7 linked regions of the Sus scrofa genome follow. The protein of the gene in region 7 purifies or fractionates together with the protein of the main gene of each other region. This does not show direct contact. Links are inferred from orthologs where the notes say so. Each region holds a gene or a part of one and is shown on either strand. Other genes may lie near its edges.

Region 1 (3,926 bases), on a different chromosome or scaffold from region 7:
TGGTGTAGGCTGGCAGCTACAGCTCCAATTTGACCCCTAGCCTGGGAACTTCCATATGCCACAGGTGCAGCCCTAAAAAAAAAAAAATATATATATATATATATATAATTGATTTTAGTTTTTGCTTGACTGTTTTCTAATTACCTGTGTATTAGCAAAATGGAGGTTACGAAGTTATTTTTTAACAGTTTTATTGAAGTATAATTCATGCAGGAGTTTTCTTATGGCCCAGTGGGTTAAGGATCCAGCCTAGTCATTACAGTGGCTTGGGTCAGTGCTGTGCGGGTTTGACCCCTGGCCCAGGAACTTTCATATGCCATGGGCATGGCCAAAAGAAAAAAAATTCACATACCTCACAATTCACCCATTTCCTATGTATATTTCACTGGGTTTTTTTTTTTAGGGTATTCCTAGTCATGCATCCGTCATCATAATCAGTTGTAGAAATGTTTTCATCATCTGGGAAAGAAATCTCTTACCCTGTAACCATTGCCGCCCAGTTCTCTTACCCCGCTCCATCCCTAGGCAACACTAGTCTATTTTCTGTCTCTATAGATTTGCCTTTTCTGGACATTTCGTATAAACAGAATTGTAGAATATGAGCCATTTTGTGTTTGGTTTCTTTCTTTCTTTTTTTCCTTTTTTTCTTTGGCTACACCTGCAGCATATGGAAGTTCCCAGGTCAGGGATCGAACCCACACCACAGATGTACCCACAGCCACAGCAGGGACAGCACTGAATCTTTAACCCACTGAGCCACAAGAGAACTCCCTGTGTCTGGTTTCTTTTACTTAGCGTAATGTATCTTAGGTTCATGCATGTTGTACCAAGAATAAGTATTAAATTTCTTTTTATTACCAAATAATATTCCATTGTATGGATGTACCACATTTTATTTATCCATGCATCATTCCATCAACATTTCGGTTGTTTCTGCCTTTTAACTATTAAGAATAATGCTACTATGAATATTTATTTATGTTTTTGTGTGAACCTAAGTTTTTGTTTGTCTGGCCTAGATATCTGGGAGCAGGATTGCTGGGTCATGTGGTAACTTTGTATTTAACATCTTGAAGAATGAACAAACTGTTCCCAAAGCAGCTGCACTATTTTCCATTCCCATCAGCAGGGTATAAGGGCTCCAGGTTCTCCACATCCTTGCCAACACCTGTTATTTATCTGTCACAAAGGTATTTTTCAAAAACAATTCTGTGAGTCTAAGAGAAAATTTTAAAGGTATGGACGTGTTCCCAGTTTCTGCCTCTTATTTCTGCCCATGGAGGAAGTTATTTTTTCCCTTAAAAGAGTGTGTTGCAATAAGCCATTTGTTTTCTCCAATCTCCATCCACTTGTAACCAGTGGCCCACATTTTTGGAAGGGTTAGTTTGAATCAGGCGAGCCATCCACAGTCCTAGCCTAGTCTTCTCTTTGTGGAGCATCACACAGTAGAACCTGCCCCGCTGACTCTCTAGCACAGAACTCAAAATAAGAAGCTGTCAAGTGTGTGGAGCCATTGCTTTTAACTCGTGTAATGTTGGCCGGTCATTGAACAGGAAAAGTGCGCACCCCTTCCAACCGTCTTCGCTCTCTTGCTTTTAGATGGACGACGAGGACGACGATGACGATGTAGGAGATCATGATGAAGAGCACCCTGGGATGGAGGTGGTGCTGCATGAGGACAAGAAGTACTACCCCACAGCCGAGGAGGTGTACGGCCCCGAAGTGGAGACCATAGTTCAGGAGGAGGACACGCAGCCTCTCACCGGTGAGTCTGGAGGCGCTGGCTGGGGAGCGCTGAATCCGAAACCAGAAAACTGTCTTGAAAGCTCAGTGAATGAACTGATTAGTTTCTCTTTCAGGTACTATGTCTAGATTGAGATTCAATTAACCCCATTTTGATATTCAGTAAAACTCATAGCTTATTACTTAGCAAATAAGAGTTACAAAGAGAGAGAGCGTTCTTTCTTTTAATCTAATATCCGTTTAGGTGCTTGAAGACAGTCTTTAAGTTCTCTTCTGGTCTGATATCCAAACAATACCAACTCCTTTAACTAGTCTTCACAATGCTTATTTTCCACTTTACTAATTTTCACTGAGCTTCTGGAAAGTGGTTGCATTTTTAAATGCAAGGAGTGCTTTTGAACTGATATCGAGCTCATCCTCTATCTAGTCCCTCTCTCTTCCTCTCACAAAATAAAGTCCAAACACCTCACTCCACAGTTCAAGACCCTTCACTGTCTCGTGCCAAATAGCATTCCCAGGACTTTCTCAATCTCAGTGACCCATGAGAATAGCATAAATTGATGTCGCATATCGTATATTCTGAAAGCTCAGTCTGTTGGAATAGGGCTCTGTGTTTTTATGTTTTATGCCTACCTGCACATCACTACTTTTTTTTTCTCCTAGAACCCATTATTAAGCCAGTGAAAACCAAGAAATTCACTCTGATGGAGCAGACACTACCTGTCACAGTGTATGAAATGGAGTAAGTTATTAAGGTCTTGCAGCATCTCTGCACAAACAGTATGGGTTCATTTTTTTTGTGGAGGTAGGAGGTGGTTTGTGGTTGAAGTAGCCAGTGAATTATTGTGAAAGCAGAACTCTCTCCCTACAATTTGCCAGCATTTTCTTTCTTTCTTTCTTCCTTTTTTTTTTGTCTTTTACTAGGGCTGCACCCTCAGCATATGGAGGTTCCCAGGCTAGGGGTCTAATCGGAGCTACAGCTGCCGGCCTACACCACAGCCACAACCACGCCAGATTCGAGCCTCGTCTGCGACCTACACCATAGCTCATGGTAACACCAGATCCTTAGCCCACTGAGCGAGGCCAGGGATTGAACCTGCAGTCTCATGGTTCCTAGTCGGATTTGTTTCCACTGCGCCACAACAGGAACTCACCCTTACTTGCTTTTTAAATGTCATTATTTTCCTATTGAAAGCTCCATGACATTTCAAGATTATGTCACCTCACAAATGAGTCTGTTCCATTCCCAAAGCCTGAACTGTGTAGGGGTAGAAATTCATGTCTGCCTTGGAACATTCTCCAGTTGGGCTGAAAATTGTTCCTGGCCAAAAATACCTAGAACATCTCTGCACCGCTCCTTTGTTTGAAAACCGTTGCCAGAGTCCCTTTTCTCTCTTCCTTTCTCCTTTCAGTTTCTTGGCAGATCTGATGGATAACTCGGAGCTCATCAGAAACGTGACGCTCTGTGGCCATCTCCACCATGGCAAGGTGAGGGAACTTGGAACAGGGTTGCTCTTTGTTTCTGCTGAGTGTTTCAGCCTAAGAGTCACTAATTGGGGTCTGAGGCCATAAGGCTGGACCTCCTGACTCTGCAGGGCCTCCCTGGAGCCTATTGTGAAACCGAGCCGTGAAATCCCAGCTTTTCCTGAGCAGCAGATGGAAAGCTAAGCCACTTGCATGCCTGAGCCTTGTGTCTACATCTGGACAGCAGAGGGGAAATTGGGCCTTACTTTATTTTATAAGTTTTCATTTCCTGGAGGACGCTTGCCCAAGAAAGATTTCATCTTTCATTTGAAAATAATCCCGTGGCTTCTTTATTTCTTTGTTGTCCCATAATCTCCCCTGCTCTCCTCCTCCTCTCCTTATCCCTGAATTGTGTGGTGTATTGGTAACTGGGGGAGGGTGGAGTCGATTTTCCTCTGTGGCCAGCAGAACATAACTTTCTTTTCCCTTGCAGACGTGTTTTGTAGATTGTTTAATAGAGCAGACTCACCCGGAAATCAGAAAGCGCTATGACCAAGATGTAAGTAGAAATTCTGTGGAGGGTTTGGGATGAACCATTCAGAACACAGGGGGGTGTCTCTCCTTCTCCTTCCTTCTAACCTCCCACTCTCATTATAAGTAATGATGCCTATAATATGCTGCTTCATAATTGTAATTTCTATTAATAGCCCTTAAGAAAA
Region 2 (3,512 bases), on a different chromosome or scaffold from region 7:
GCTCTCTCCCAGGTGGAGAAGGCGGCGCGTAGGGGGACGCCTTTAGCTTCCCCGCCCTTCCCTCCAGATGTGGGCCTTACGCCTTATGGCGGATTTCGTCCGAAAAACTGGTACCCAAAAGACGGCCCCTCCCTTCGGACGGAGGCGTCAGAGCCGGACCCTCTTTCGCCCCACGTCTCAAGGTCGCACCCACTCCCAAGTCCTGTGACTTTGAAACCTTCTTCCTTGACACCATACCCCGCGCTGCCCCTCAGGTAAGGGAACTCTCTGCCTTGGTTCCCATACGAGAGGTCGGGAGGACGGCATCTTGTGTTCTCACTTCACACAAACAGAAAACCCAGAGCAGCCTTTCTTGAAATAAACCCTAAGGTGGTGCTTAGCAGCTGTTCAAAACTGCTCCGGCACTTCGCTGGTTTGTCTTCGCAATGTTGCGAGGAAGATTCTCCTTTGATTCTCTACAGCAGACATCTACAGCCTGGAGACGGCCGCGAAGCTGGGAGTCAGGCTTAGGCTGTGAACCCAGGGGGCTCCGGAGCTCCTCGCAGCGTGCAGGTGGTGGCGGCCGGAGCACGAGGGTAGGTGCACAGTCCAGATTTCGTGGAGTCTCAGGACACAAGGAAACCCTTGGTCTTCAGCTGCACTGTCCCAAGGCTCCCGTCGGACACACCCACCTGCACCTACACCCACACTGAACCAGAGCACTAAAATACAAGGAAACTTTTATTTTCAATTTTTGTCAAGAAATTTGCTGTGGTTTTTTATGCTTTTGGTTCTTTTCCTTTTTTTTTTTTTTTTTTTTTCCAACTTTATTTCATTCTAGCCGCTCAGGGGCTGGAGCCGCTGGGTTCCTGGTATTAAAAAGATGCCAACAGAGGTAGCTGTGTCTCGCCCAGGGGCCCGGCCCACTGTGAATACCCCCCAAAAAGGAGAAATGAAAACACAAAATAAACCAACAAAATAAAACCAAAAGGAGGAAGAAATTCAGATCATTTTCTTCAAGCCTGGCGGGAACCCACAACAGTTTGTGTGTAACAGACGTTACAGTGGGGAGAAGCCAGGGCCCAAAAGGCCAGCCCGCCAGCTCCCTGCAGATGGCGCCGGCGCTACTGCTGCATGTCTCTCCAGCAGGAAGGGCACCACTGCCCCTCACTCCCTCCCCTCCCCCAGTGCACTGGGGGCTGTTCCTCTACAGCTTGGAAGATGGGGCAGAAGGGAGGAGAGGGTCTCTCAGGCCCCCAGGGGAGAAGCTGGGCAAGGGAAAGTGAGGAAGGTCACTGCTCAGCGGTGGACGTGGTATCATCCATCTGGATCTTCACTGCTGCTGGGCTACCTAGAGAAAGAGAGAGCCAAGAGGGTCAGAATGTCAGACCCCAGGAACCCTCCTGACCCCAAAGGAACTCACTGGTGGACCAGCCCCACCTGCCCAATGTGTAAAGCCAGGGACAGACAGCAACGTTACAAGTTCCAGAGTGGCTCTGCTGGAACAGATGGCCAGAGGAAAATGGTCCTATACCTGCTGTGGAGTCGGTTCAGGTGCCCGGTTTGCCAGGCGGCTGAGAATGTTACGCTCGGACATCTGTAGCCTCACAGCAACTGGGGGAATTCGGGCAATAGTAGCTGGGAGTCGAGTCACATCGGCTTTCATGTCACTCAGCAGTTCTTCTAGCTGTTTCAGAACTGCATGGGGGGGAAAAAAGGCGGTGAGCCGTGGTGGTCAAGACCTAGGCCCATCTTATAATATGTGGACCGGCTTTCCCATCACTTCTCAATGATCAAGTGACGTGCTGGAGTGCTGTCTTGTCAGTCACCTGACCTGGCTCCACCACGCTCAAATTCCTATTCCTCATATTCCAATTCCAAGTGTCCATGATTCTATGTTTTAAAGTTACCTCTGTCTCTTGATCCCTGTCTCTATCTCCATCACTTTTATTTTTTCTTGACTGTGCCTGCAGCATGCAAAAGCTTCCAGGCCAGGGAGAGAACCATGCCACAGCAGTGACAACACCAAATCTTTAACCACTAGGCCACCAGGGAACTCCGCCACTTCTTAAATAGCTATTCCTATTTCTTTCCTCTCCACTTTTGGAGCTGTCTCCCTCTTCCTTTATAACAGCTGCCTTTTCCTCATTTCACCCTCCACCCCCTCACAATGTCTTACCTTTAATTAGAAACAGGATGTTGAAAGGGGGTCTAGAAAGCACAAGATCGTAAATAACCTGAAGTTACCTCTAAAGTAGCCCAGATAACACTATGTATTATTCTGGGTTGCTCTCCACCTCTCCAAAAAGCTGAGTATATTCAAGAAGTTAAGAGGCAAAGAACTACTGTCCTTGATTGCCTGTGAGATATTAGCTTCCTGAGGAGGAAGGCAAAGCTCCCCAAATGTGTTGGGGAGGGACAGAGAAAGAAGGAGGCTAAGTCAGCAGGAGGCAGGGGAGCCACTGGCTACCTTTGTGCAGGACCGCATTGGCTGGCTTGTTTCCTGCCATTGACTCCTTGGACAGGTGCTGATGACTCTCCGCCAAACACTCCACCTCAGCAAAGCGGGTGTTCAGGGCCATGGAAGGGTGGGAGGGGTCCTCTGACATGTTCAGGTAAGCTGCCCGACGCAGCTGTTCCTCAATCACCAGGGCTTGTTCTAAGAGCTGGACAAGGGATAAAGAGATGGGCATTGGAATGATAATTCACTTGGCTTAATTCTGACGGGCCTCTGAGAACCTGTGAAGAACCTTAGGAATGGCTCCCTCACACCTGAACTGGTGTTCAACACCAATTCAACATTACATTGGCTTTTTTATCCCTCTTTGGTGGTCCAAGTTTTTTAAGTTATCTTACTGATTCACTTTTACACAAAAATGATAAAAACTCAATTTAGAAAATACAGAATGTATAAAGCATCAAAATCACAATTCTACCTCCTAAAAACAGTTAACATTTGATGTGTTTCCTTATATTTATTTTTTTATGTATTAAGATCCTATGTATTTGGAGTTCCCGTCGTGGCGCGGTGGTTAACGAATCCGACTAGGAACCATGAGGTTGCGGGTTTGGTCCCTGCCCTTGCTCCGTGGGTTAATGATCCGGCGTTGCTGTGAGCTGTGGTGTAGGTTGCAGACGCGGCTCGGATCCCGCGTTGCTGGGGCTCTGGCGTAGGCTGGCGGCTACAGCTCCGATTGGACCCCTGGCCTGGGAACCTCCATGTGCTGCGGGAGCGACCCAAAGAAATAGCAAAAGGACAAAAAAATAAAAAATAAAAAAAATAAAATGTATATAAAAAAAAGATCCGGGAGTTCCCGTCGTGGCGCAGTGGTGAACGAATCCGACTAGGAACCATGAGGTTGCGGGTTCGGTCCCTGCCCTTGCTCAGTGGGTTAACGATCCGGCCTTGCCGTGAGCTGTGGTGTACGTTGCAGACGCGGCTCGGATCCCGAGTTGCTGCGGCTCTGGTGTAGGCCGGTGGCTACAGCTCCAATTTGACGCCTAGCCTGGGAACCTCCATATGCCGCGGGAGC
Region 3 (3,926 bases), on a different chromosome or scaffold from region 7:
GAAAAAGAATATTCTTATCAGCTTATTTGGTACTTAAGCCTGTAAAAATATCCAAAGAAATGTATTAACTTTTGATGTCACAGTCTGCCCTAATGAAGTAGGTAGGAGAAGAGGTGGGCCGGGCGGAATTTATTCTGTCCATAGGATATTCTCTGCTTGGCACTAGTAGAACATGGATGTCTAATTCTAAAACGCTTTTTCTTCTCTGTGGCACTGATAGAATGAAAGTAATAAGAGCAGCTTTGACAAAATGATTGAAGCCATTAAAGAAAGCAAGAATGGCAAGAAGATTGGAGTGTTCAGCAAAGACAAATTCCCAGGAGAGTTCATGAAGAGCTGGAATGACTGCCTCAACAAAGAGGGCTTTGACAAAGTAAGAATACTCTTGGAAGCAAGCACATTGAGAGTGAGAGGATGGGCTTCCATATCAGAGTGCAGAGAATTTGTTATGGGAAAACTATATTAATTTACATTTCTATTCGTCATTCCCTTTGGCTGAGCAGTAAGCCAGTTTTACTATTTGATTAGGAATGAGGCATTCAGAATATAATTCAGCTGCTTCAGAGGGAAACAGAAAAATCTCTTGTCCAAAAAAATTTTTTTGCTTCTCTTCTCTCCTGTCGCTCTTCTTTCTTCAGCCTTTACGAAAACCTCAAGAGAGAGGCATTTACATTGACATTTTAAATGATACTTTAGTTTAATGCCTCTTAGGATACACACTGTGACCTGGTAAAGACCTCTTTGAGATGTTTTTTTCAGTCCAAGAAGAGACTATTTAGATGTTCTGCAAACTGCTGATGACTAGTTTGCTGGATAACCAGATATCATCTCTGATAATATTCAAATTGGGAGTGGGATGTTTCCTTAGCAATTCTGTGTCTGCACATCTGAAGCTCTTTGTCCCTTTGACTGCAGATAGACATCAGTGCAGTTGTGGCCTATACCATTGCTGTAAAGGAGGATGGAGAGCTCAACCTAATGAAGAAAGCAGCCAGCATCACTTCTGAGGTCTTCAACAAATTCTTCAAGGAAAGAGTAATGGAAATAGTCGATGCAGATGAGGTAAGTGGAGAGGAGGAAGTCTTTTTACTGTTTTAATGAAACAGTAGTAAGTCCCTACCTTGCAGTGTATTTTGGTGCGTGTTGAGCTTCCTTCCATATGCAGGTTGGTGGTGTGGTTGTGCCAGCTCTCTTTCACAATTACTATAAATTTGCACTGTAGTTTCTGGAGGTTACCTAGTATTTTATTTGAGAATTCCTTTAATAGCTGCGAATTCCACATTTTCTCTAAATTTGTTTTGCGTGTACACCAGTGTATTAGCTGTGGGTAAACCACTTCATAAGACTTTGTAGCATCCTATAAGATAATCAGGATATGTGTTGTCTTCAAATGATAATTTCCACCTCTGCCACACTCTAGTAAGTATTGTTTTATTTCTGGGTATACTTACAGAAAGTTCGACACAGCAAACTGGCTGAGTCTGTGGAAAAGGCCATTGAAGAGAAGAAATACCTAGCTGGGGCAGACCCTTCTACTGTGGAAATGTGTTACCCTCCTATCATTCAGAGTGGTGGCAACTATAATCTCAAGTTCAGTGTGGTGAGGTATGAGAATTTCCAAATATACCACCAGCCAGAGCATTTTAGCCTTCAGCCTGCTTTTTGTTGTACTCATTCTAGAATTCAGAAAAGTAGGAGAAAGAATAACTGTTGGCTAGCCTTTTACATTATCTTCTTGTCTTATTCTCCACGTATTTTTTTTTTGTTTCACACAGTTGTTCATTTCCTACTTGAGCATTTGATTGTAAGCTGATTCCAAATGATTAAAAATGCTAAGAAAAAATTCAGAACATGTTGGAAGAAGAACATTAAAATTATGTTAGGTATACCATGATGTAATTCCCCTTCTAATTAAAAAAAAAAAAAAAAAGTTGTAAAGAATGCTGTTTGTCCTGGTTGGTCTGAAGGGACTGATTGATTCACAGTGAATTGTAGTGGACTGCTGGGAAATGATACCTCACTGCCATCCTGTTCAGCTATAATGAATAAAATTCAGTATATCTTGCATATTTGGGATACAGCAACTTTTTACTAAATTTTTATCCTAAGAGTTTGGGTCACTAATTTTGCTCCAGAGTTGGTTTATTTTTAAAACTTTTTAGCTTTTTTTTTTTTTTTTAAGAACTTTTTAAAAACTGGTTCTTTTTAAAAAAAAAAAAGTAGGTTATTTTTCCTCTTCAGCTTTGGGACACTGCAGGGGGAAGATAGTGATTACTGACATTGTGTGTTAGTGATCCTTAGGACTTCACTAGTTGATGTAATGAAATGCTTTCTTCCTTTGGTCTGTAGTGACAAGAATCACATGCATTTTGGGGCCATTACCTGTGCCATGGGTATTCGTTTCAAATCTTACTGCTCCAACCTTGTCCGCACTTTGATGGTTGATCCTTCTCAGGAGGTTCAAGAAAATTACAACTTTTTGCTTCAGCTTCAAGAAGAGCTGCTAAAGGAATTAAGACATGGTGAGGTGCCTTAGAAAAGGTTTAGAAATCATGTAACACAAACGTCTGTAACGTTTATGGGAGTTGATATCCCTGAGGCTCTTGTACTATAAGTAGAATGAGATTTTACTATGAATCATCCTAGCATTTAGTTCTTCAGTCTACTTTTCTTTTATGCATGAGTGGTTATAATGAAGTTTACAAAAACCTCTCTGGTTAGGGCTCTGTGTCGAGATCTTCCTTATTACTCTTCTTATTTTTGGGAAGTAGTATCTCTGCCAACAGAGTGTGTAATGTTAATCCTGTATTGAGCGGATAGCATGAATCTAGTTTGAGAGCGGAACTAACAGCATCCCTGCTAAGCAAGTAGCTGCCTACCTCAGAAGCAAAATGCTTGACACATCTTTGCCTTGAGACTCTTCACTCCCAGTTGGCTAAATGGGACTTTGTGTTTATTACCTTTATTTATTTTTTAAAAACCAGATTATTTATTTATTTAACTTTTTTTTTTTTAAGGTCCGCACATGTGGCATATGGAAGTTCCCAGGCTAGGGGTCGAATTGGAGCTGCAGCTGTTGGCCTACACCACAGCCACAGCAACACCAGATCTTTAACCCACTGAGCAAGGCCAGGGCTCGAACCTGTATCCTCATGGACACGAGTCGAGTTCGTTTCCACTGCGCCACAACGAGAACTCCTTAAATTATTTCTGTCAAACCAATGTGGCTCTACAGTCCCACTGGGTCAGTGATTCTCAACTGGTGAAATTAAAGAGTGACCAGGTGGATTGCTTTTTTAAATGCAAATTTCAAAGCTCTGCCACTCCTGCCACTGTATTCCTTATTTTATCCTTTGAGAAAGCCTGCTTTAGGGGACTTAATAGGTGAAAAAAATCTTGATTAAAATATGTCTTTTTTTTTTCTGAAAGATAAAGTTCCCTTTCTTCTGTTTTGTCATTAGGTGTGAAGATATGTGATGTATATAATGCTGTCATGGATGTGGTGAAAAAGCAGAAGCCGGAGCTGCTGAACAAAATTACCAAGAACTTAGGGTAAGATGGTGTGATATATATACATTGTCACTCTGAGACAATTTTCATGACGGGAAGTAGTCAGGTAAAATATTCTTAGATGATTTAACCAATATTTATGGGCTATTAAACTAAACTGCATGCCAAACACAGTTTGTTATCAGAGAATATGAGAAATATTTTAGTCTTTTTGTGGGAGGGTTGAGGAAATTTTTTTTTTTTTTTTGCTGCACCTGTGTCATGAAAATTCCCAGGCCAGGGATTGAACCCATGTCACAGCAGGCACCCAACTGCTGCAGTGATAGCACCGGATCCTTAACCCGCTGCACCACAGAGAACTCTCAATAAATATTTAGGTTTTTCTCCCAAGGGTATGGTGGAGATTTTTCTGGGTC
Region 4 (4,432 bases), on a different chromosome or scaffold from region 7:
TATTACCTATCACAGTAAATGCTATACTATGAAACCCTACAGTTATCCTTTTTTCCTTTATAAACCCCAAATATCTAAAAGAATACAAGCATTATGCTACATCTAACAGTGCTGGTTCTTTATCATAGTCAATTCTCTAGTAAATTGTGTACAAAACCTTAAGCTTCTCTGATCCCAATGAGAATGAGTACACATTAAATTTGAGCACGTAACATCCCCCAAAGACAATAATAAAATTATTTGAAGACTGAAATACTGTTACTAAGGTAGTTAATAGTAACTACTAATACACAAAAACTGCTTTCAGAAGTTCCTGTGTGGTGCATGGGGTTAAGGATCTGACATTACAACTGTGGCTCAGGTTCAATCCCTGGCCCAGGAATGCTGAGGGTATAGCCAAAAACAAAACTGCTTTCAACATTAAAACTATTTCTGTACATGTTTTAGCTTTCTGGCAACAAAATTAAAACATGTAAGAAATCTAAGCTCCCTCATAAGTGTAAAACTGAATTCCAGAAAGTTTAACTGATTTGCCTGAGAGGTAATAATGGGGGGAGGGGGAAATATCCAGTTCTCTTAACTCCTCCTAAGCCAAGGATCTTTCTACTGCTAACACTCCCCAGTTAAAGCCTCACAGTTAAAAGATTAATCTTTAGTATTAGAATAACTAGCTACCTTGGAGTTTCTTGTTTCTAACAGCAGTTCCATTCATAATAACAAGGTCCCACACCATGTAAAACCCTCTGGAGACATAATCACGGAAAAGGTGTGTTTAAATTCTCTACCAAAGGAATAGCAAATACCATCAAGTTTTCCTGTGGCATAAGCACTGGGAAACACAAAAAGGTCAATTGCATCTTCCTTCTTAAATCTTCTTCAGCCAACATGAAAATGTTACTAATGCCTACCTACTTGAAATCAAATCTACAACTGTTTTAGATACTAATTCTGTGGCCAAATCATCCCGGATAGACATTAACTCAAAGGAACTGTTACCTTGGTACATGCTGATCTTAATGAACCCGTTATTTCTAACACCTCAAGGCAAGAAGTGTCCTTCAATTCCAATTCCTATGAATAATTATTCCTAAAAACTTATTTCTTACATTTCTATTTGCCAATAATATTTTTGAGGTATATAATTCCCTAAATTAACTAATCACTGCTTTTTTTTTTTGGCCTCAACTGAGGCATGTGGAAGTTCCTAGGCCAGGTATTGAACCTACACCACAGCAGTGACTTATCTTTATCCCACTGAGCCACCAGCGAACTCCCCTTATGTCACTTCTGGCAGTTCTGCACTTAATTTTAGTTTTAAGTCCATGTAATAGTATAAATATTCAGGCTTTATCCAAAAAAAAAAAAAAAGCAAGCAACGTTTTTTTTTTTTTTTTTTTTTTTTTTTTTTTTTTTTTTTTTTTTTTTTTTGGCTATTCTTTGGCCGCTCCGCGCATATGGAGGTTCCAGGCTAGGGTCGAATCGGAGCTGCAGCCACCGCCTACGCCAGAGCCACAGCAACGCGGATCCGAGCCGTGTCTGCAACCTACACCACAGCTCACGCAACGCCAGATCGTTAACCCACTGAGCAAGGCAGGACCGAACCCGCAACCTCATGGTTCCTAGTCGGATTCGTTAACCACTGCGCCACGACGGGAACTCCCAAGCAACGTTTTTGATTCTTACTACAATTAGAACAGTTATCTACATGGTGAGGGAACAAGTACATAGCTATGTAAAATAAGAATACTTTCAGCGCCTATGAAGTATGTTTCCTAAGGGATGAATTTATTCTGCAGCACTGGTTTAAACTGTGCTAATACTAGCTTTTGTGAAAGCAACACGTTATGAAAAATAAAATCACCTAAATCTTACACAAGAATTAAAAAAAGGATCTGATATGCGAATGTGATACTACTAAAAAACCCACATAATTTTTGCAAGTTTAGGAAAAAACTTGAATGCTTCAGAACCTAGCAAATAATAAGCACTATAATACCTACTTAATAAAAAGCATACAGGCACGCATTTTTTTTGGTCAACGTTTGGATGATCTGTAAAATGCATGCCAGAATACCCTGAAAGTCAAACTTTATTGTCTTAGGAAGTTACAACAATAGTATATGTAATTCTCATAATTTAATATTTTTCCCAAGGGCAGTTTGGGAATTTCCAATTACCGCTAGTGGTTGCTGTAATTACGTTCTTGTAAAGATTCAAATACAGTATGTTAGTATCTACCACATCAAGAGGTAGGAAAAGCCATTTAATTTAACCTAGTGGCCAAATTCCTTACTACTCCTGCTACTGATTTAATACGACCCTGGCAATCCACACTCTCATGCTGCGGTTTCTATCTGAGAAAGACAGTAATACCTACCTCAAGCAAGCTCCACTAACTTATATATTTCAAGTGATTTGTAACCTGTAGATAAAAAGCCAGCTTTCATTATTACTGTTAATATGTAAATGAGATTACAATTTAAAAAATAGAATTGAAAATAACTACGTCGAAGTCCATCATTTGCTCAGGGAGGAGTGAAACAAAAACTAACCGGTAAAATATTAAACCTATTGTTATATTTATTACTATACCCTGTGGTACGCTCCAGAATTTAGAGGCTTGCGGTACAATAAATATCTGCTTGATAACCCTTCCCATCCCCCGCTCAATTTTTAAATTTACAGGACTATACTAATGAGCATTTCGATCTTCCCTTTCATGATCTCTCTTAGAGACCTCATGGTCATAGAAAATGAAAGGACAGCAGCCGTTAACACAGGAGAGCGAGAAGAAGAAAAAGGACATTCTCCCTGCCGATCCTGGCCTAGAGGACATTAGGTTAAAAATCCACGCAAGGGCTGAGGCCTATAAAACTCTCTTGCATAAGATCTAATCCCCCCGTGCAAATAGAATAAACGGGGGCCTGCTTACTCTACCGAGAGGAGGGTTCCCCCGTCTTCTCCCACACCCCCTCGCGCTCCCCAAGGAACCCAGCGACTCCCCTGCTTCCACCCCCTCCACTTACCAGGAGGGGGGAGGGAGAAGAGATTCGATTCTGAATCTCCTACTCCCGGGTTCTACGTGGAGAAGCGGACTGCTGCTCGAGGTCGGCAACACCGCCGCAACCGCTCAGTCTTCGCCTCTTCACAAAATGGCCCCCGAGTCTCCTCTGCCGCCGAGGCGAAGGCCTAGTCCCCGCCCCACTTCTAGGACTCTTCCTATTGGCTGAGCTTTTTCTCGCTCCCGCTTCTAATTAGACAGTTCTACCGCTCTTCACAATTCTGTCCAATCACAATCAGTGGTGGGTTAGACTAAGCAAGAGAATTTCCACATGCGTGAGCGAAATTAGTTTGTAACTGGTTATTTTTCCTGTCATTTATCACCTGAGAAATGCTTATTGGCCACTGTAACTGACGAAGCGGTAGGTGGAAACCTGCCTTTGTACCGCGCACCACTTCATATCCGGGTATCCGGGAGGTTGTGATTGGCGGCTACGGGATCCTATCACTGCTCCTTAGAGAACCTGGTAGAAGGCCCGCCGGGATCTCGGAATTCCGGCGGCGCGGGGGCGGGGAAGGATTGCGGGATTTTGTTTGGTAGCGGCTCAAAGGATGTGCCCTAGCTCCGGGCCTAGGTAAAGGGAAGCAGGAATCTCCGAATGAATCCTCTATACTGCTGTGTGGATAAAGAAAACACTTTTCTTAGAATTGGGAGGGAGCACCAAGGACTAGAAAAGTAACCAATCCTGCAAAACTCCAACCTTAGAGCTCCCATTTGGACAACACTTAACCTGTCAAGCCCTTCTTTAGACAACCTGTATCTCACCCAAAACAGCTGACTTCCTTATTCCTCTCCACTGCAAAAGGTAAAGAAAGTCTAAAATGTTGGCCTGAAGTATTACAGCACCCATCCTCTGGCCCCAAATCATTTCACGAATACCCTACATGCCAACCAGAATTGGCTTGCCCATCTAATCCTACCCCCTGCTCGTCCCCCAAATCTGCTCCCTTCTTCCCCTCATCTGAAATAGCTAGTCTCCCACCTTCTGGCTCCAGGCATCGCCTGCCAGTCCCGCTGGTTATATTATAGCAGCCATGCACACAGTGGGATAGGTCCAGCTATGCTAGGAATGAAGGATATTTCTCTGTACAGTTAGAGAAAGCAAGATGCAGAATACTATCTAGATAATGTGATACCATCTGTATACATCTTATGGAATATATGTATATGTGAATACAGTTTTATGCATTAATTTTGAATTATGTCTGAATTCCAGAGAGATTCACAAGGAAATTACTTGTTACCTATCAAATGGAAAAAAAAAAAAAAAAGGCCATTTAGTAACAAGTTGAATGTCATTTACTTAGGGAGAGCAGTCCATGGTTGGAAGAGTACAGTGACTCACAAGCAGTGGAGCACACTTCCCCAGGG
Region 5 (3,926 bases), on a different chromosome or scaffold from region 7:
AGGATCCCTGGCCTGGGAACTTCTGCATGCTGCGGGTATGGCCCACAACAACAACAACAAACCCACCAAAAAATCACAGAACAAAAAAACTACAAACCAAAACCAAAAAACAAAGCAAACAAAAAAAGCTATTTATAATCTGCCAAGGAAACAATACTTCTAAGAGACACAAAGTTCAAGCTATCAAACTGAAATGGAATTTTGACTTTCTGCTCATTGAAAAGAGTAGCATATTAAACTTTAATAAATTCATTTAAAAAAATTAATATCCGGGAGTTCCTGTCATGGCGCAGTGGTTAACGAATCCAACTAGGAACCATGAGGTTGCGGGTTTGGTCCCTGTGCTTGCTCAGTGGGTTAACGATCCGGCGTTGCCGTGAGCTGTGGTGTAGGTTGCAGACGCGGCTCGGATCCCGCGTTGCTGTGGCTCTGGCGTAGGCCAGCAGCTACAGCTCCGACTCGACCCCTAGCCTGGGAACCTCCATATGCCGTGGGAGCGGCCCAAGAAATAGCAAAAAAAAGACCAAAAAAAGACAAAAAAAAATTAATATCCGAGCATCTGCAACAAAGACATATTTTCTGATTAACTGAATTTAAAAATTTTTGGTCAACTAAATGTCATAATACTTCAAAATTGGAAATGGCAATTCACTGAAAATTGGAAGCATACCCACCTGAGCATTGTGAAGATGTATCGAGGACTAGCAGAATCCTTGCCACCATGCAACCTGGTACCAAACTGACCAATGGGCTGTAAGAGGTTCAGATTATTGCTACCCACAAAATTCTGAGCCAAATTGATAATGGTCATCATAAGTGACATCTGGGGGGGAAAAAAGATTCATTAATCTTATCTGTAGGCTTTTAATAATAACTGTCTGATTATGACTATGCCTCACTATACTCCTGTAAGATTTTATGAAATGTAGATCTTTATTGGCTTTTTACATATGAAAACATAACAGAAGTAGTATCTAAACCCAAGACTTCTGTCTCCAAGCTCTGGGCTCTTGCCTTACATGGTTTTTATCATCTGACTCAACCTTAAAGGCATAGCTCTTCTCTTCACCCTCAGCAGAATGAAATATTTCCTTCTTTGTGTTAAAACATTTTGCTCATTTCTATTCTAGCATGTATCACTCTATTCTACCATTTTGTATGTGTGAGAGAGAGAGAGAGAGAAAGAGATAGTCATATGGTTAAACTGTGATTTTAACTCCTTAAAGGTAGCAAACATATGATTTATCTTTGTACACTTGGTAGATGGTAAGCATTCAACAAATGTTTACTGTGTGAACATTTACTGAGTAGCCCATGTATATATTTTTAATTTTTTTCTTTTTTAGCTACCCCACGGCATATAGAGTTCCTGGGCCAGGGATCAGATTCAAGCCACACTTGCAACCTAAGTCGCAGCTGTGGCAATGCTGGATTCCTTAACCCACTGTGCTAGGCTGGGGACCGAACCTGTGTCCCAAGACACCACCAATACCATTGTGCCATAGCAGGAACTCCTAGCTGCTATATTTTGATTGAAAGCAACAAGCAAGGCAATCATTACCTTTAAAGTTCTAGAAACTTACAGGCAACCTAATTCTTTAAAATTGTTTTACATCAATGCAAAAAAAGCAACTTCAATCACAAAATTAAAAAATGAATATGTAGGAGTTCCCATTGTGGTTCAGTGGTAACAAACACCACTAGTATCCGTGAGAATGTGGGTTTGATCTTTGGCTTTGCCCAGTGGGTTAAGTCTCCGGCGCTACTGTGAGCTGTGGTGCAGGCCGGCAGCTGCAGCTCTGAGTCGACCCCTAACCCACAGACTTCCGTGTGCCACAGGCACGGCCCTGGAAAAGCAAGTAAACAAACAAACAAAAACAAAACCAATATGTATGTTTGTACAAAATCAATTCAGACATATATGAAAAACTGGAAAGTTGCCCTTTCCAATTCCTAGGGATAACCAAAGTTAACAATTTGGAGCACATCCTTCAAGTATTATTCTGCCTCCTTTATTCCCTCACCTGACAATAGAACGTGGACATTCTTCAGTGTTAGCACACATAGATTTACTTAAGTAAATCTGATCCCATGTATAGATGTGTCACAATTTATAGTAATGTTCCAATTGATGGACATTTTTCATGTCTAAATTGTGGCATAACAAAGTTACAGCAAACATTATTAAACACTTTTGAATATAGATCCTTGCATGTCTTTTGATTATAGTATCCTTATATTATTTTTATAAATAGATTTGTAAGGTCAAAAAATAAGCACATTTTACAGTTTGATAGTTTTCACCAAATTGCTCTCCACTATGGATATACCAGCTTATATTTTCACCAACTGTTTGGAGACTGACTTTGCAGGTATTTCTGCTATAATGCTTTCTGGAAACATTATGGATTATGTATTTACCTCACCATGATGATAAGAGGACATCTCAGCTACTGACCCAGCTAACTGGGCCACCTTCACTTCTCGCTTGTCATTTCGTTTGAAACATGTAAACAAAACTTTTCTCTGTCCCGGTTTCAAACCTTCAAAACGAAAGAAGTGTAAATATTAATATCCTCAATTTAACCATTTCTGGGCATTGATTTCCATGTTATAATAAAAATAGACCAATAAATTGAAACTCACCATCCACCATGGATGGGATAGATCTCTCATTATCAGAATTTGAGAACAGGATAAGTTCCTTGTTTATGAAGTCATTGTATGTCAGATATGTGGTAGTTTGCCCATACAAGTAATCCTGAGAAACCAAAGAGTGTTACATGATCTAGTTAAAAATAAAAAATATCACTGGTCATAACAACGATTAAGACAAAAATAAAACAAAGGCATTCCTTAGCACTGTTATTTCCATGAAAAAAAAATTTTCTTTTTTTGGTCTTTTTGTCTTTTTAGGGCTGCAGCCGCAGCATATGGAGGTTCCCAGGCTAGGGGTTGAATCAGAGCTGCTGGCCTACACCACAGCCGCAGCAATGCCAGATCCGAGCCACATCTGTGACTCACACCACAGCCCATGGCAACACTGGATCCTTAACCCACTGAGCAAGGCCAGGGATCGAACTTGCATCCTCATGGATGCTAGTTAGATTCATTTCCACTGAGCCACAATGGGAACTCTCTCCATGATAATTCTTAAATCCCTCAAAAATAAAGATTTATGAAAAGTATTTTATATGTTTTAAAGACAAAGCGAATTTAACTGCTGCACAATTAGAAAAAAAATGCATTAACTTTCTAGTTTCTTTCAGGTTTAACACATTTATGCAGGTGTCTAAATAAGGATATACAGTTATCTATTATTAACATTTCTAGTGAAATAACTATTAATTTTAATTTGCTCTGTCAATTCTAAAAGGTCAATAAATAGTACATTTCGTGGGCTATATTAAAAAATTTTTTTGTACCTCAGGAAGGCCAAGTAACTTTCGTTGCCGTCTATCTTCCATGAAATGCGTTAACCATTCCTTTCGATCATCTATCTGTTTTTTGCTAAAGGCCTGCAAATTAGAAGATGAAAAAGATGTCACTGGTAGACAGGTTCCAAGTTATTTCTTCTATAAGAAATTAACTAATAAACAACAAAATCTCAGTTTTCTAAAATATATGCCTCCTTTCTCTGGAATATGATTACTGAAAACATTCTACTCTCTCTCTCTATATATATATATTTTTTTTTGGCTTTTCTGTCTTTTTAGGGCTGCACTCGCAGCATATGAAGGTTCCTAGGCTAGGGGTCTAATCGGAGCTACAGCTGCTAGCCTACGCCACAGCCATAGCAATGCCAGATCCAAGCCGCATCTGCAGCCTACACCACAGCTCACAGCAACGCCAGATCCTTAACCCACTGAGCAAGGCCAGGGATTGAACCTGCAACCTCAGTGGGGATCCTTAACCCACTGAGCAAG
Region 6 (4,387 bases), about 30 Mb from region 7:
TGGAAACTCCCCAGTTTGTTTGTTTTAAATCAAATTTTCCACAATATTCGGATATATATAGCTTCCCAATCCTATTCTATGTTTGGGTTTGATACACAAACCCATTGTTCTATAGTTTATAAAGGTTGCACTGAATTTGCATTGCCTTCTCACAATTTAGATGGCATTTATAAACCACCTTAAGACATCAAGTCTTTCAAGTTCTCACAAATTAGTTACTTGGAAATGCAAATTTTGACTATTTTTCTTTAGAGTTTTCTTTAATTTTAGCAATTACCTTGCCACAGACGGTCATGTCCCATCCCATCCCCCCTTCCCCTGCCAAATTCACATTAAAACCAAATCCCCAATGTAATGAATGTAATGCTGTTTGAGGTGGGGCCTTTGGGAGATACTTAGGGTTAAGCAGGCAGAGCCTTCGTGAATATCCTTACAAATGACCACAAAGCTCTCTCTTGCCCCTTTTCACAGAAGGCTGCTATCTGTGAACCAAGAAGCGGTTCAGAAACCAAAATCTGCCAGTTTCCTAGTCTCCATAACTGTAAGAAATAAATTTTTGTTGTTTATAAGCCACTTAGTCTATGGAATCTTGTTACAGCAGCATAAAGTTACTTTTCAAAGTACTGTGTTTACTTAGAAATTACTTACTGCTTCCTCCTCTTTATCAACATTACTCGTTTGTGACAACTTAATATTTCCATTTCCGAGTTCTCCACTTGCAGAAAATTTCACTCCATCTTTTGCACAGGAAATTACAACAGCATCTCCAATGTGACTGAGATCTCGGCATATACGTGCAAATTCACCAGAAGGCATCTTTACTACACAGCTGTACTCTTGTTCCTATGAAACAAGGAAACTTAAGTTCAATGAATGGAAATGAAAGATTTGGCACCCTTACTGTCTGAAGACTCAGCATTTAAACAAGAGAATTTAAGGTTTTCTAATTATTTTGAAATATCACTTTGTGTAATTTCTTAACATACTCTAACCACTCAAAACGTAAACACAGTTATAGAACAAGAATGTTATAAAATAATCAAAGGAAACAAATAAGAACTTGAACTTTTATAGTAAATGCACTGTCCAGGGAACAAGAGCCTCCCCTTAAATGATCTACAGGGTTAAATCAAGAGAACATTAGGGTATAGCACACACACAATGACGGTGCTAACAGGCCGTCATTTTTTTGAAAAACAAAACAAGAAAATACAATTACTAGGCATATTAAACATCCAAACCCTCTTCTCTCATTTAATGTTGATAAACCAAAGCATAATGAATTTCTGCTAAAGTAGCTTTAAAATGTACTCAATAAAAAATTAAGCATTGTAGGAATAAAAAGAAGAGAGTCAATTAGGTTAATGCAAATATGCATGTGGCAGCAATCAATTCAAAACAATGAGCCATTGCAGAATACCATCATTTATATCAGTCTAAATACTCGGATTTGGAACATACATGAGCAGATATACAGAAAAAGCTCTTTTAGGAAGTAGGCTTTATTATATTAATATATTTTATGTAACTATCATGACTGTATGTAGTATGCTCAATCAGAAACTTTGATACTCACTGGAATTCCAAGTTGCTCAACATCTAAATCCATTAACTTCATTTCATAGTCTGAAACCTTTTCCTGATCTACCAAAAGAAAGCAAACGATGAAGAAAAACATGTAGGTTTATAATTGTGATAAATTTTACAATTACCACAAACTATCTTAAATTTCTCTCAGCTTTGGGAAATAAAGACACTGCATTCTAATCTCCTCTAGCATTAACTCAGAAGGGTGTAACTTACTTGGAGCTTCAAACACTAGTGCCAAGGTGTCTGCATTATCTTCTGCCCTTAGCGTAATGATGTCTTCATTGCCAGCACATTTTAGTATTTTGGACATGCTGGAACACAGGAGACAAGAGTTTAAAATCGACACCATCTTCTCAAGATCGTTAGCTTTCTAACTCAATTAAAACCATGAGTTACCACTTTTAACCACTGGACCACGTGTCGAATTGGCGAGTTTGGGAAACGTACTGCAGGAAGATGTAAGAGAGTCCAGCCGTTTTGGAATGCAATCTGCCAGTATTTATACTTATACGAAAAAGCCCACACCCCACAATGTGCAATTTCGCTTCGGGATATTAAAAAAAAGACCAGTATTTTAGAAAGTACAAATCCCTTTGGTGGGTGAAGTAAATTATTGGGCCGCGACGATCTTAGATTTTAATGTACCCACTGAAGCACCAGTCTATTATATTGAGTGTAGCACGGGTAAACACTTTTCACAAGCTTTAAAACTTAAACATGTGTATGTACTAGGAAAGGTAGTGATCAAAAAGTTTAAAACCACTGTCCTTCCTGGAGAAATTTTTCCTCAAATCCAGGATCTTAGGATGTTCACTGCAACTTTGCGGTAAAAAAGTAAGCTATTGTCCATATCACGGCGACAGAAGTAGGGCAAATTATAAAGCGGCTCATCTAAAGGCGCCTGCAATTAATAACCAAGGGCTCCGCAACAATCTTTTCCTGGCACCGCGAAGAAGCCCGTCGTTTTCCCGCCACCACTTGCTTTGTGACTTTGGCGCGGAAACAGCCGGTTCGCGCTGCAGTCAGCGCGGGCTTTCCGAACCGCGCGCTCTGCTACTGGTCCCGCCCCCCCGCCCCGCGCCACAGGCCAATAAGAAAGGTGCAGATATCCCACGCCAGCCAATAAGGGCCCGCCTTATGGGCGCTCCCGCCAAGAGCGGAGGTAGGGGTGTCCGCGGGCCCGACAGTCTGCGGCTTCGGGACTCACCTGGTGAGGTTCACGCCCATGGCCAAATTGCGGTCGCAGCGGTACGTGTCGAAGCCCTCGGAGCGCAGGGTGAGCTGCACCAAAGAGACATGAGACGAGTCCATGCTCTGCAGGTTCACGCCGCTGGAGCTGATGTCCCAGCAGGCCTCGTTGATGAGGTCTTTAAGCGCTTCCAGCACCTTCTTCAGGATAGAGCCCTGGACCAGGCGCGCCTCGAACATGGTGGTGGAATCACAACGACGCGGCTACAGGTGGAAGAAAGAAGGAAGGAGTAGCCGGCTTAGGCTTCAGAAGTTGAGAGAGAGCAGGAAAACACCACAACAGAGCCTGAACCGGAGGACGCACACTGCCAGCCGGCCGCGCCTGCAGCGGTTTAATACAGCCGCGTCTGCGAGCGCGCGCTACGCCCCCACGCCCTTCATGGCTACGTCACCACGCTGCCCCGCCCACTGCCTGGGCGGAGAGGCTGCGGAGCCAATCGTGTCCCTGCTCCACATGAAGCCCGTCCCACCCCGAACATCCATTGGAGAGTGTGGGCGTAGGGGCGGGGCAGGAATCTTGCGCCTAACGAGGGCCTGCTGATAGGCATCCTGCGGGGCTCCCCGCCTTTTTGTCGTGTTCCGGCGCCCGGACGTTAGACAAGTCGGGGCAAGTGTGAAGGTCAGGCCTAGGCTTGGGGGGGGGTCGTTGAGGTGGCTTTGTGGTGCCTCATCAATTTCCCGCTTGAGGGATGGGACATTTACAGCCTTGAAAGTGAAGGTGAAACGGAAATCCAGCCTTCTAGGAGGAAGAGCCACCATGCGCCTAAAGAGTATAGCTACTTTAAATATGCACTTTTTTCCCCCTGCTATTATAGAGTAGCAATTATAGAAGCGTTCCTAAAAGTGAACAATAAAGAGATGTACAGTTATGATTAAAAGAAAACAGTTATCGTGGCTCCCCACTGCCATCGCCTCCCCCACCACACACACACCAAACTATCGTTTACTGCATACAACTTTCTAAGCTTTTTTTTTTGTACAAATGTACTTTTAAAAACAAAATTCAGGAGTTCCCGTCGTGGCGCAGTGGTTAACGAATCCGACTAGGAACCATGAGGTTGCGGGTTCGAACCCTGGCCTTGCTCAGCGGGTTAAGGATCCGGCGTTGCTGTGAGCTGTGGTATAGGTTGCAGATGCGGCTGAGATTCTGAGTTGCTGTGGCTCTGGAGTAGTAGGCTGGTGGCTACAGCTCCGATTGGACCCCTAGCCTGGGAACCTCCATGTGCCGCGGGAGCTGCCCTAGAAAAGACAAAAATAAATAAATAATTAAATAAAAACAAAATTCAGGGAGTTCCCCTAGTAGCGCAGTGGAAACAATCCGATTAGGAACCCTGAGGTTGCGGCTCGATCCCTGGCCTTGCTCAGTGAGTTAAGGATCAGGCGTTGCCGTGAGCTGTGGTGTAGGTCACAGACGCGGCTTGGATCTGGAGTTGCTGTGGCATAGGCCAGCAGCTGTAGCTCGTATTCTACCCGCAGCCTGGGAACTTCCCTATGCCTCGGGCGCGGCCCTGAAAACAAAAAACAAAAAAACGGTTTATACTGTAAACAC
Region 7 (3,926 bases):
GAACCCATCCCATAGCAGTGACCCAAACCACTACAGTGACACACCAGATCCTTAACCCACTGCACTACAGGAGAACTCCCAGAAAGCGCATTTTAATGAGACCCCCCCAGGTAGCTCGTGTACACAGAGTTTGAGATGCTCTCTGCAACACAGGCTTTATCAGGTTGCCCCTTTCAGGGAAATGGGACTCATCTAAAACAAAGGGATGACTGGGCTTCTTGGCATTGTACATGTTTCTCCACTGTCTTACTATTACACAGGTACTAATTCACCAAAGATTTCACATTTATTATATAAAAGTAAAATTAACCAGAAATGCATTCATTTCAAAACTGAGAAGAACGGCTGGAAAGTTATCACTCTAATTATAGGGATATCAGGAACTAAAGACTCAAACTGAAGTTTTAGGGTAGACAGAAAGACCCTGTTTGAAATGCATTACTTTAAAAGGCCAACAGGTGGCGCTGCTTCCCCTCTCAACCTTCCAGCTCCTTCCAAAAAGGACACCATGGGGAGGAAGGGCTGGCTTTAAAGAGTTTCTTGCACTTCTTCAGAATTACCCCACTCAAGTCCGAATCGGTGTTGCCAGTTAAGTTGTAACATGCTTCTAACATAAAGGAAAACATTAAGTCACCAAGAATAAAATACATAAAGGCAAGAAAGAATGCAAACTACTTTGGGGTATGTTAAACTAAATATAAACAATATTTTAAAAAAGGAGTTCCCATCGTGGCTCAGTGGAAACGACTCTGACTAGGAACCATGAGGTTTTGGGTTCGATCCCTGGCCTTGCTCAGTGGGTTAAGGATCCCGTGTTGGTTGTGAGCCGTAGTCTAACACGGCTCAGATCTGATGTTGCTGTGCCTGTGGCATAGGCCGGCAGCTGTAGCTCTGACTGGATCCCTAGCCTGGGAACCTCCATATGCCGTGAATGTGGTCCTGAAAAGCCAAAAAAAAAAAAAAGAGAGAGAGAGAGACTCTTCAGGAAATTTTACTGAATTCTATCCCAATAGAGAAAGTACTTTTGATGCCTCCCATTTAAGATGAGCTGTCAAAGATGAAATGACAGCTCCCAGCAGTGGAAGGGTAGGAGGATAACTAGAAAGTTCCCGGCAATGGCAGTGTTTTGTGGAAAAGGCTGAATTCCAGGAAGAAACTGCTGAGTCAGAGCTGAAAATTGGAGGTTCTTGGAGGCCATTCACTGCTTCAGCCAGCTCGTGCCCCACATCTCCCTAAAAGGCACTAAGGAGTCTGAAGATTCTCTTCCCTAGAAAAGAGGCAGAACTGACAGTATCAACTTAGACTAAGTCAGATACAACTTCTTGACTTACTGCAGTCAATAATTAGTTTACCTAATTAAAGGGAAGAAACCCCAGAAAGATCAAATGAAAAAAATGCAAGAGCCCTAGAGCTAGAGTTCATATAATGGAACAAGAATGGAGCTCATACGATGGGCAAGAATGTGGGAAGGGACCATGGTGAGTAGCTCAAGTCTCGGCTTTCCACCTCAGAAAATAAAGAGAAACCAAAGGCTAAGGAAAGGAATCTAGCTTTCCTTCAAATAACTTTGGATCCCACAGTTAGTCTTTACCAGACTAGGGCTACAGAATACCACATTTCTTTCTATGATTAGCTAAGGTTCTTTCTCACCACTGGAGTTTTGGCTTTGAGTCACATTTTTACTGTCTCCAGGAATTACCCACTCTGAGGGCTGACAGTAGAGCTCTACTCTGTCCTGTGCTCTCCAATCAACTCAAGTCAGAATGTTTACATGATGCAAGCATTTGTCATGGAGGCTATAAGGTCCTGCTAGACTGCACACTCCATGGGAACAGGGATTTATTAGTTAGTATTGTCCACTGCTGGGTCTTCGTGTGTAAACACAGTCATAGTGAATACATAGTTTAAAAAAAACAAAAATTCCAGCTTGACAAGTTCGACACATCCCTGATTTGCAAGACCCAGACTTTCAGTATAAACTACTACCCTTGACTTATAAGCATCCATGGCCTGAGGCCAATGCTACGTGGACAGAGATATACCAAAACGCTCTGAATGTTCACCTACTGATGTTTTTCAGCAGTTCTCCTGGCTCAATGTTTCTCAAAGTTTTGGTCAGCAGACCCCTTAGTTCAGAAGCACCCAATACCACTCAACACCTACTAAATGGGCCCAGATCCACTGGGGACCTAAGGGTTTGAGGAATAATGCTTTAGCCATTTCTGGAGAAAACTCTTGGAATGAAGGAAATCAGTTGAGTATTACTATCTGCATGCTGCTATCTGCCTAATAAGGGAGCATCAAAGACTACTCTCAAAAATCTTCAACCCAAGGACAGAAACAGCAATGATAGTTAATAAACAGAAAATTCTGAGGGTTATAAGAGAACTAGGTAGGATTAGTTCTTCAAAGCAGCTAGTCAGACTTGACTGCACAAAGGGCAAAGCCATAGTGTTGTACTATGTAGAATGAGTGACAGACATCTACCAGTCCTACCTAGAGGTTGATGGCAGACTAATTCACAACCAAGTACGAAATACTGTTTTGAGTGATGAGCATCTTGTCCGCTTGTATTATATCACTAAATTACAATACTGCCATTCAAGTAAGGCTTTTTTAGTAACTTTTATGAAGAGTAGCTCCTTAGAAATGAAGTTCCATCAACAAAGACCTATTGTATAGCACAGGGTACTATACTTGATATTTTATAATAATCTATAAGGGAAAACTACATATATATAGATATATATGTGTATGTATATATAAACTGAATATATATATATAAACTGAATCACTTCCTGTACACCTGAAACTAACACAACACTGTAAATTTACTTCAATTAAGAAAGAAAGTTAGTTCAGAGAAAAACATCTAGCTTGTGGACCAAGTGCTATGTAGATGGACCCTTCTGAGACCATGTAAATAAGACATTAATAACCCCTTTCTCAGAGCACTTTTTCTGCACCAAATGGGTCTTTAAGAGTTAAGTAAATACCTGATGACTTTCCCCAAACCAAATGACAACAATAAAACAAAATGAAGTGAACAAAAAAGATTACACAGCACAAGATTTTTCCTCACTTTCTATTCCTAAATAGAGGAATTCTCTTTCCTTGGCCAAGAATCTGACAATCTTGGAACAACTCACCATCATAGTAAAACTTGACACTCTCTGGAAGAGGTTCATATGGTGGAGCAAATACAGGACCTTTATGTTCTAGGAATTTCCACTTGATGCCTTCAGGATAGCGCTCTTCTTCCCACCTTTAAAAAACAAAAGCACAATCTCATTTAGTGATTACTTCACCTAATACAGAGATCATTACCCATTAAATGTCAAAATAATTATCTGCTCAACTGACTACTGCTCTGGAGTGACTCTGGGCCCCACATTCAAGGCCTGGATCAAAATAACCAACATCCTTCACTTTGAAAAAGCCAATACTCACAACAAATAAGATGAAATACTCAGGTAAGCAGAGGAAAATATAATTCAACAGTTTAGTTCAAAGATATTGAGTACATGAGAACATTACTCAGCAATAAATAGGGGATATGGAAACAGAAACAGTTGTTTTATCACAATGGTACATAAGACAGAGGTATTATTTATACGGTTGATACATAGGAAAAGGCCTCCTGGGAATGGAGATCCCAGGTGAAAGTGTAGGGGAAACAACCCTTTGAGAAAGTACCCAATAAAACAGAAAGCTGGGAACACAAGTTCTTCAAGGCAAAGAACTTGAATACTTCCAAAAATCTACAAATGGCCAATAAGCATCTGAAGAAATGCTCAACATCACCAATTATTAGGAAAATATAAATCAAAACATTGAGTTGTGGTATACTGAGTTTTTTGGTTGACATATTTCAAAGTCTTTCTTTCTCTCTAGAATGAGAAAGACCTCTCACCACCACCATTTTG

What was found.
Region 1: the proteins of TOP1 (region 7) and EFTUD2 purify together in Homo sapiens (affinity purification with mass spectrometry; 3 studies listed by BioGRID and IntAct, with this or other methods). This does not show direct contact. The link is inferred for Sus scrofa from reciprocal best matches to the Homo sapiens genes TOP1 and EFTUD2.
Region 2: the proteins of TOP1 (region 7) and CHD4 purify together in Homo sapiens (affinity purification with mass spectrometry; 3 studies listed by BioGRID and IntAct, with this or other methods). This does not show direct contact. The link is inferred for Sus scrofa from reciprocal best matches to the Homo sapiens genes TOP1 and CHD4.
Region 3: the proteins of TOP1 (region 7) and SUPT16H fractionate together in Homo sapiens (co-fractionation; 3 studies listed by BioGRID and IntAct, with this or other methods). This does not show direct contact. The link is inferred for Sus scrofa from reciprocal best matches to the Homo sapiens genes TOP1 and SUPT16H.
Region 4: the proteins of TOP1 (region 7) and HNRNPC purify together in Homo sapiens (affinity purification with mass spectrometry; 3 studies listed by BioGRID and IntAct, with this or other methods). This does not show direct contact. The link is inferred for Sus scrofa from reciprocal best matches to the Homo sapiens genes TOP1 and HNRNPC.
Region 5: the proteins of TOP1 (region 7) and TOP2A purify together in Homo sapiens (co-immunoprecipitation; 4 studies listed by BioGRID and IntAct, with this or other methods). This does not show direct contact. The link is inferred for Sus scrofa from reciprocal best matches to the Homo sapiens genes TOP1 and TOP2A.
Region 6: the proteins of TOP1 (region 7) and PCNA purify together in Homo sapiens (affinity purification with western blotting; 3 studies listed by BioGRID and IntAct, with this or other methods). This does not show direct contact. The link is inferred for Sus scrofa from reciprocal best matches to the Homo sapiens genes TOP1 and PCNA.

Annotation. Positions count from the first base shown.
Region 1 is NC_010454.4:18,484,155-18,488,080, forward strand, and holds part of EFTUD2 (116 kDa U5 small nuclear ribonucleoprotein component), read left to right. Parts: intron 1-1,599; coding exon 1,600-1,765; intron 1,766-2,406; coding exon 2,407-2,485; intron 2,486-3,155; coding exon 3,156-3,231; intron 3,232-3,700; coding exon 3,701-3,766; intron 3,767-3,926. UniProt on the Homo sapiens protein: Required for pre-mRNA splicing as component of the spliceosome, including pre-catalytic, catalytic and post-catalytic spliceosomal complexes. Component of the U5 snRNP and the U4/U6-U5 tri-snRNP complex, a building block of the spliceosome.
Region 2 is NC_010447.5:64,102,465-64,105,976, reverse strand, and holds the end of CHD4 (chromodomain-helicase-DNA-binding protein 4), read right to left. Parts: intron 2,646-3,512; coding exon 2,450-2,645; intron 1,678-2,449; coding exon 1,514-1,677; intron 1,331-1,513; coding exon 1,313-1,330; 3' UTR 765-1,312; downstream 1-764. UniProt on the Homo sapiens protein: ATP-dependent chromatin-remodeling factor that binds and distorts nucleosomal DNA. Acts as a component of the histone deacetylase NuRD complex which participates in the remodeling of chromatin.
Region 3 is NC_010449.5:77,794,559-77,798,484, forward strand, and holds part of SUPT16H (FACT complex subunit SPT16), read left to right. Parts: intron 1-220; coding exon 221-373; intron 374-915; coding exon 916-1,062; intron 1,063-1,453; coding exon 1,454-1,605; intron 1,606-2,349; coding exon 2,350-2,522; intron 2,523-3,461; coding exon 3,462-3,552; intron 3,553-3,926. UniProt on the Homo sapiens protein: Component of the FACT complex, a general chromatin factor that acts to reorganize nucleosomes. The FACT complex is involved in multiple processes that require DNA as a template such as mRNA elongation, DNA replication and DNA repair.
Region 4 is NC_010449.5:77,919,868-77,924,299, reverse strand, and holds the start of HNRNPC (heterogeneous nuclear ribonucleoproteins C1/C2), read right to left. Parts: upstream 3,156-4,432; 5' UTR 3,027-3,155; intron 2,423-3,026; exon of another isoform or gene 2,378-2,422; intron 1-2,377. UniProt on the Homo sapiens protein: Binds pre-mRNA and nucleates the assembly of 40S hnRNP particles. Interacts with poly-U tracts in the 3'-UTR or 5'-UTR of mRNA and modulates the stability and the level of translation of bound mRNA molecules. Single HNRNPC tetramers bind 230-240 nucleotides.
Region 5 is NC_010454.4:22,011,176-22,015,101, reverse strand, and holds part of TOP2A (DNA topoisomerase 2-alpha), read right to left. Parts: intron 3,519-3,926; coding exon 3,426-3,518; intron 2,762-3,425; coding exon 2,647-2,761; intron 2,544-2,646; coding exon 2,422-2,543; intron 824-2,421; coding exon 675-823; intron 1-674. UniProt on the Homo sapiens protein: Key decatenating enzyme that alters DNA topology by binding to two double-stranded DNA molecules, generating a double-stranded break in one of the strands, passing the intact strand through the broken strand, and religating the broken strand.
Region 6 is NC_010459.5:14,139,526-14,143,912, forward strand, and holds the start of PCNA (proliferating cell nuclear antigen), read right to left. Parts: upstream 3,060-4,387; 5' UTR 3,019-3,059; coding exon 2,798-3,018; intron 1,902-2,797; coding exon 1,804-1,901; intron 1,645-1,803; coding exon 1,577-1,644; intron 844-1,576; coding exon 649-843; intron 1-648. UniProt on the Homo sapiens protein: Auxiliary protein of DNA polymerase delta and epsilon, is involved in the control of eukaryotic DNA replication by increasing the polymerase's processibility during elongation of the leading strand.
Region 7 is NC_010459.5:43,768,908-43,772,833, reverse strand, and holds part of TOP1 (DNA topoisomerase 1), read right to left. Parts: intron 3,266-3,926; coding exon 3,150-3,265; intron 1-3,149. UniProt on the Homo sapiens protein: Releases the supercoiling and torsional tension of DNA introduced during the DNA replication and transcription by transiently cleaving and rejoining one strand of the DNA duplex.